2 linked regions of the Arabidopsis thaliana genome follow. The protein of the gene in region 1 interacts with the protein of each later gene in a pairwise test. Each region holds a gene or a part of one and is shown in the gene's direction. Other genes may lie near its edges. The genes, in order: PRA1.B4 and RABA3.

Region 1 (3,757 bases):
ATACGATGTTGTTGACGGGTCATCATCTTCTTCAACGGTCCCAGTCTTGAAACCAACAATGTCAATAGGACAAATACTGAGCAAGAAGCTACTTCTTGCAGAGGATTCAGATATGAATGTTGCTAATGAGAGAAGAAAAATGTCGTTGGGTCAGATGCTTGCAAAGAATAGCAGTAGTGATAAAACTGTAAGCAAGAGAAGTGAAGGGAAAGAGAATGAGAAAAGGACGAAGACTCGAAAGAGAAAGAGTTTCGGATTTGCTAAGATCTCTGTGTTGTTGAACAAAGAGAGCAAGAACAAGAAGAAGAAGAAAAAGATAGCTTTGAACTTAAGGTGATATTTTGAATCTGTTGATGACTTCTTTCTGTTTTGTACGTGAACCAGTAGTTTAAGAAAACAAAGTGTATCATCAAGTGCTTTATTATAATGCTAATCTAGGCTAATTAATCCCAATACGACCATATTAGCATTGACAGAGAAACGAAACAGAGAAGATGATGAAGTATGGAATTTTTCAGTAACTTAATTCTATTACAAAGCTTCTTTTATACTCTGAGAGTTAATATGTATACATAGAACAATCAGTTAAGAGACTAACTAAATCATCATATGACTCAAGGGACTAACAAACTTATCATTTTAAACTGAGGTAGTATCTAATATCCAATGAGACTTGGAACATGATTAGGAAACAATGGTTTTGTAAACACATCTCCTAGTTAATTCTCTCTTCGTAAGTGTAGAGCCATGATCAAAGTAGCTTGGATTCTTCTTCTCACAATATGACTTTGGTGCGTTAATGAAACAATGGATTGTTGTTGGCAATGTGTATAGCTGCAGTAGTAGCCACATATGATATAGCATTGACAAATTGCCAAAACACTTGACTCTGCATTCGCCTCTGTTTTGGCCAACTCTCTGACACCTCTTTAAGCCACAAAACCATTGTAGTAGACAAGAGATTTAAATGACTTACATCTCAAGAAATCAACAAGACTGCCTAATCAATAACGCATTGATCAAAACTACTGAGACTTTCCATCAGCTTTTCATTGAAAGAAAACAAACTGAAAGATTTGAATAAAAGAGTTAAAAGAGTTCACTCCCAAGTCCCAATCACCAACCTCCATGTCCCAGAAGACGCCAATCTCAGCCGCGGCGAAATCTCTTGTGGAGCCGGGAGCGAGACATGGTTATTGGTGTTCTCTGTGTTGAAGATGACTCACCCACCTTTGTGTAATCCTCTGTCTCATAACCATCATCGTTTCTGTTATTGGTTAACTGAAGTCTCCCCTTGAACTGAAGTACTTGTCCACTTCTTGGTGACCAGTTGTGAGATCCCACGATTGAAGATAGGCTTTCCTCCATATGATAGGCTTGTCCAAAGCCACACTGCAGTTACTTGACTAAGAAGCGATTGTGATAAATCATCATCATGAGCCAAGTTCTCAGGCTGAGCTAAGAGAATATTCCCAGTCCTGCTTTTCATCATAAACGAAAGACACTTGACGTACGAGCAGTCATCTGTGATTTTGCTTGAGATTACCATGAGATTAGTTGGTATACGTGTCCGGTCAACTGTCCATAACATAAGCTCCTCCAAAAATCATAGAATGTATCCATTACCTTAATAAATCTTGATTAAATAGTAATATACCGTTATCGGAAAAATAAAATTCAATATAATAGTTTCATTCACTTTTAAAATTTTGGAAAAAATAGATATAAATATAAAACTCTTTAACATTTATCTCCCTAAAACACGAGATTTAACCTAATATAGATCATAATTAAATCAAATAATAATAGGAAAACCAAAAAGGAAAAGAGTCACGTTTATTGTCGGTGACCCGTAGCAACGAAAGAAATAGGAAGGTCAACAATTTTCTCATACCCGTATATAAAACAAATCTATCTCTCCTTCCCTCTTTAATTTATTAATCAGATCTTGCCCAATTCTTCAATTTCTTCAACCCTAATTCTTCTCTCTTTCTCAGATCTACCAAACTTGATCTCCAATGGCTTCCTCAGCACCACCAGTCCTCCCAATCTCCAATCCCCAAACCGTTCCATCCGCCGCTCCTTCCTCCGTCGAATCTCAACCACCGATCGCTACTCCAGCTTTCCGCAATTTCATCAATCAGATCACCGAAACCGTTAAAAACGGTCTCTCTAAGCGTCGTCCTTGGGCTGAGCTCGCGGATCGTTCCGCATTATCCAAACCTGAGTCGATCTCCGACGCTGCTGTTCGTATCCGCAAGAATTACTCGTATTTCAAGGTTAATTACCTCACCGTCGCTACAGCGATCGTCGGATTCTCTCTCGTCACTCATCCTTTCTCTCTCGTCTTCCTCCTCTGTCTCCTCGCGTCGTGGCTCTTCCTCTACTTGTTCCGTCCCACGGATCAGCCGATCGTTCTATTCGGTCGTACATTCTCCGATCGTGAGACGTTAGGGTGTTTGATTTTGTTCAGTATCTTTGTGATCTTCCTCACCGATGTTGGATCTGTTCTGGTTTCGGCTATGATGATTGGTGTTGCGTTGATCTGTGCTCATGGTGCTTTTAGAGCTCCGGAAGATCTTTTCCTTGATGAGCAAGAGCCTGCTGCTACCGGATTCCTCTCTTTCCTCGGTGGTGCCGCCTCTTCAGCCGCGCCTGCTGTTATCGCCGCTCGCGTGTAAATGCGATTCCGATCTACCATTCCCTCGCCTGGGTAAATCTTTCTATATGATTCATTTGTTGAATTTGATACTTAGATTTTGTTTTTTTAATCTGAAAACAATAAACGTGAAAATGTTGTGGATCTGGCCTAATTTTGGTTCTTGTTCATGGGCAATAGCTATAGATGAAATATATATCTTTGCATGATTTTGATTTGATGAAGTTTTACTACCGTTTTGTGTTAATCTTTAGCCTTTTTTAATTTACAAGTGTTGTTTTGGAAGATATGGATTTATTTCATGATCAAATTCAAAATGCAATGGATCTGTTTATTAGAACTTGTAGCCATCTTTTGATTTGTTATGTGACTACATTGCACTGCGTGTATACAATCAAAAGAGTCAAATTTGGATGCATGTGCATGCAAGATCCATCCAAATTTCACCAGTTTTCAAAAGCACCCATCATAAGACAGACCTGGATCAGAGTCGTAGGATTTAACGAAAGGAAATTACTTCCTATTGAGGATGAGCAGCAGAACAATATCCACATTACGCATTTACGCTACTTGACTTGACTTGAAATCGTGGGTCGGAGCAAATGCGATGCACAAATAATTCGATGAGCAGCTTTAGTATTGGGCTTCGTACTCGAGTCCGGCCCAGTATAAGCTCATTTACTTCTTTTCGAGTCCAGTTCGGCAAAGGCCCAATGTCTATGAAATATCGAATTGGTGGCGTATACCCTAAGCCAACAAGGAAGCTTCGTTTTAAAAATGATTTGTTACTTACCTAAAATTAATAGTATTGGGTGACAATCCACCTTACATTCTTATCTTTTTAAGGGTTTTAGCTTACGGTATAAGTCACCAATTTGACATCTTCCATCAACGAAAATTAGTAAATTACAAAAAAGTACAAAGTCTTAGTCGCAAATATCTCTATAACCAAAAGCAAAGCAATATCCTAAGTTGTATTGACCTCGGAAACTAGAATCTCCTTGAACTTGGGATTTGTCAATGCCAGTGACTTAGAAATTGTTCTTTGCGAAGGCAAAAGCTACAGTTTGTTAGTTGGCGCGCAATTTGAGCTGGGAA
Region 2 (4,378 bases), on another chromosome or scaffold:
ACGCTTACGTTCTATGGCTAAGGCAATCTACATTCTAACCAGAATCAATTCTAAAATCACTCTGCAAACTCAGATAAATCCATCTCTTCTACTGTTCCCAAAGAATGGCAACGACTAAAGAAGAAAGCAATATATCTTCTACTGTTCTACAGCAATGCACACAACACATCAACAACCAAATCAACAACAGAAATTAAGGAAACTGGTCTCTAGTGTATGCTCGTTAATGGGAAGACCTAAAGCAATAACAAGTTTACGAATGACGGGAATAAACTCGACATCACTAATGGCTAATGTCCAGAATCAGTAATCATTAAGCTTTACCGAACTAATTTTTAATACATTACAGATATACTCAAGCCAATAAGTATCCCTGGAAATCTCAAAACAGATCAATTTGCTTCATCTCTTTCACCTCAAAGATTAAAACTTTGCACAACATTCCAAAATTTAATCGAAACAGAAACTATTGAGCTGTGAGACAGAAAGAAGCAGAGTACATAAAGGATCTGCTAAATTTGCAATGGTAAAACAAACTCTAAGAAGGTTGCAAAAGTAGAAACTTTCAAAATTGGCAGAGGCAAAGAGACGGAGAAGATGATCATCAGTCAGTTCATTCCTCACGCCAAGTGAACTCGCACTTCAAGCATCTATAAAATCTTGATTCTGGCTCATCTGCTGAACGAATCTGCATTGATTTGAAGTATGCCTTGTCGTGGCCACACCTTGGACATGGGGCTGTTAAAACCAAACAATCCCAACATGAGAAAGAAAGTGAAACAAAAGTCTACTCTACTCTTTCCCCAAGTGAGATCAACTCTGAACCAACTCATCACAGTCCTAAAATTAGAAGAAGAGAAGACAAGAGACTGAAAATACCTTCAGTTTCAGCAGCTGTGGGTATATCATCTTTAGTCACAACAGCTTCTATAGATTTCTTAACCAGAAGTTGCTTCTTCTTTATCTCCACCTGTCAAAATTCCAAAGCACTCAGGAACAGAGGAGAGAATTTTAACGGTTTGCTCACAAACTTTCAAAAGGTATATAATTGAAAAAAGAACCTGTCTTTGGATGTAGGCGACGTATGGACATGTGGAACAGAAGAATCTCGAATTGCCACCTCCCTCGTATCGCAACAGATTCCCACATGTTGGACAAAACTCCATCTTCCACCACACCCTTCAATTCGCTGCTAAATCATTCATCCACCACATAAACCCTAAGTTTCTGTTTCTTCAACATTCTGAACCCTCTTTTTAGTTAGGAAATACTTTAATTGTTTCACCCCAACTTTTATTGGGCCTAAAATATCACGTAGGCCCAACTTATGCTACAATCCATATATTTAATTTTTCAGCAACACCATATAAAAACTAAAGAAATAGACCAAAAAAAAAGCAATAAATTCATACATGAGGTAGAAGTAGACAACAACCAACAATTGATGGAGCATAAGAGCTTTTTTAGGTGGTCTCCAGACAAATCGTGGGTTTCATGTTGTATCACTATATTGATTTAGCAAAATAATAACGTTTTTCAATTATGTCGGTCCATGCCCACAAGCCACAGCTATATTTAAACATTGTATATTCATTTTGAATCATATATAAAAAGCTAATTAAAATTATATATAAAAGAAGAGCTAATTAAAATAATGCACAGAGCATTGTTGCTGTCTTCATATATCAACACTTTTAGGTTAGGATACTCAATATTTAATTTTAGTTTGGGTTATTTCAACGACTTAAACCAAACCAAATTTACGAAATTTTGGTTTGTAGCAGTTTTAGTTTTATTAAATATGGTTGCGAATGGTTATGAGTGAATCCAACCAATCTCACTGAAGTGGTTCAGAATTTTTGTTAATTCGGTATATTCGTACTGAACCATATAAAACCAAATTTCTTCTCCTTTCTTCTCTTTTCTCTGTTTCACTCACTCCCACTTTACTCAAAAGAGACTTAAACTTTATAGTTGTTTTCTTCATCAGCGCAATAATGAACGAAGAGATGAGCGGTGAGTCGCCGGAGAATAACAAACACGTAAAGAAACCGACGATGCCGGAAAAGATCGATTACGTGTTCAAGGTGGTGGTCATTGGAGATTCTGCTGTCGGGAAAACGCAGCTCCTCTCACGTTTTACACACAACGAGTTCTGTTATGATTCAAAATCAACCATTGGTGTCGAGTTTCAGACACGGACCATCACTCTTCGGGGCAAACTCGTCAAAGCTCAGATCTGGGACACCGCCGGTCAAGAGAGGTTATATCATCTATATCCAAAAACACATTGATAATTCTTTATATATTTTATTAAGCTCTCACTTTTGGATTCAAATCATTTGTTTAGACTATCACTTCATTTCACTTGGATCACGGTAATTTAGATATGGTTTGATTTGATTTTGTAACTAAATATATTTCTAATACAATATGGAATATTTTTGTTGGGTAAAGAATTGTGGTATGGATTTGAATAACCATTGGTGTTCTTGATTTGGTTAATACAATGTCAGATTTCTTTTCTGCATATTTTGTTTTTGTCTTTTTGCAACCACTTATAGATCAAAAGGTCAAATGCAATAACTCACCGAATACTTTGTTGCATACTTGCATAAGTAAAACTTTATATTTTTCTTACCGATGCAAAAGTTTCTTTTAATATCGTTTTTTCATATTATTTTTCTTGATAAAATATGTATAAATGTTGCGTATATTTTTGTTTTGCATTAATTAAAGAGCGAAGAAATTGCAGTCTTACATTGATAATTCTTTATAGCTGAATCTCAGATTTGTATACAAATTAAATGTTAAAATAAACTAGAGTAGAATTTCGTTATATTATCTAGGATCACGATATTTAAATTTATGGGATTTTGAATAATTATTGGTCTTTCTTGATTTGGTCTGCAATGTCAGATTTTGTTATAATATATTCAATTAAAAAATATTTGTTTGCTTACCCTGTTTCGGCGGTCAGATACAGAGCGGTGACTAGCGCCTACTACAGAGGTGCGTTAGGTGCGATGGTGGTTTACGACATTACCAAACGCCTCTCATTCGACCACGTTGCACGTTGGGTCGAGGAATTACGTGCTCACGCCGATGATTCCGCCGTGATCATGCTCGTCGGAAACAAAGCCGATCTCTCCGTTGGTAAACGTGCCGTTCCTACGGAGGATGCAGTCGAATTCGCCGAGACTCAACGGCTTTTTTTCTCGGAAGTCTCGGCTCTAAGCGGCGGAAACGTCGACGAAGCTTTTTTCCGTTTACTCGAGGAGATTTTCAGCCGCGTTGTTGTTTCGAGAAAAGCTATGGAATCCGACGGTGGAGCCACCGTGAAACTTGACGGTTCGAGAATTGATGTCATCTCTGGTTCGGATCTTGAGACTAGTAATATCAAGGAACAAGCTTCGTGCTCGTGTTGAAATTTTGAGTGATAGGCCATAAAATCAAAAGCCAATTATTGGGCCTTTCTTTAAGCCCATATATGACTCGGATCTTTGTTTGGGTTTTTCATGTTTAGAGAATTAGAGGTGGTGCTTATAGTAAAATCAAAAAGCTATTCATGTGTCACTCGTAATCTCTTTGACATTCTTGTATATGTAAAGAAAAAACAATTCTTTTATTCTGTCAAGTTCCAAGGAGTTTCTTCTATTCAATCAAAATGTTAAGTAAAAACTAGAGTTTTATCAATATTTCTAGCAAGGAATTTTTTAAAAAAAAAGTCTAAACTATATGGTAGTGAAATGATGGAGATTTGTTTTCAAAGATTAGGATAGTGAAATGATCAGAACCACAATAAGTTCATTAAGTAGATATTTCGTGACATCAATTGTGAGTGTCACGTTAGAATCTGGAATATAATCCAAATCTAATGGAAGATATGATTCTATTTATTTTTGCATGCAACCGAATCATTTGAAGTGCTCCAATCACAAACTCGCTTTTCCTCTTATGACCTAAAAAGGAGAGTATATTATATAATCAGATATATAAAACATCACACATTAATATTTACATTGTATCTAAGCACATATGATTAATCGGCCACCAAGTGCTTTGTGACTACTTAGTTTTCTATGCTGATACCTCTGTATTATGTGTAAAGTTACTAATTAGTTTATGTATATTAGCAAAAGAAAGATTCTTATATAAGAACAATGTAAATTACTCCTTTGAACTTTTATATATTTTCAATAAACGATAGGATCGAGTTAAGATAAGTATATGTATTAACTGAATTAAACAAATACTATAAGAAGAAATTTGGATTCAGGGCCACAATGTTATGATAAATTTTGCTGGTGTCTTAAACACTTCGACGATCTATATATTTTACTAAAGAGGTGACAATTTTTGCAGGAGATAGCTATAA

The links.
Region 2: the proteins of PRA1.B4 (region 1) and RABA3 interact in a two-hybrid assay, tested with the Arabidopsis thaliana proteins (one large-scale study listed by BioGRID).

Annotation. Positions count from the first base shown.
Region 1 is NC_003071.7:16,068,764-16,072,520, reverse strand, and holds PRA1.B4 (prenylated RAB acceptor 1.B4), read left to right. Parts: upstream 1-1,856; 5' UTR 1,857-2,018; coding exon 2,019-2,681; 3' UTR 2,682-3,135; downstream 3,136-3,757. Other genes in the region: AT2G38370 (weak chloroplast movement under blue light protein (DUF827)), read left to right, coding at 1-337; AT2G38365 (endonuclease/glycosyl hydrolase), read right to left, coding at 1,271-1,591; AT2G38350 (uncharacterized protein), read right to left, coding at 3,213-3,452. UniProt on the Arabidopsis thaliana protein: May be involved in both secretory and endocytic intracellular trafficking in the endosomal/prevacuolar compartments.
Region 2 is NC_003070.9:85,765-90,142, reverse strand, and holds RABA3 (RAB GTPase homolog A3), read left to right. Parts: upstream 1-1,733; 5' UTR 1,734-1,997; coding exon 1,998-2,263; intron 2,264-2,980; coding exon 2,981-3,428; 3' UTR 3,429-3,657; downstream 3,658-4,378. Other genes in the region: AT1G01210 (DNA-directed RNA polymerase, subunit M, archaeal), read right to left, coding at 614-738, 880-970, 1,062-1,166. UniProt on the Arabidopsis thaliana protein: Intracellular vesicle trafficking and protein transport.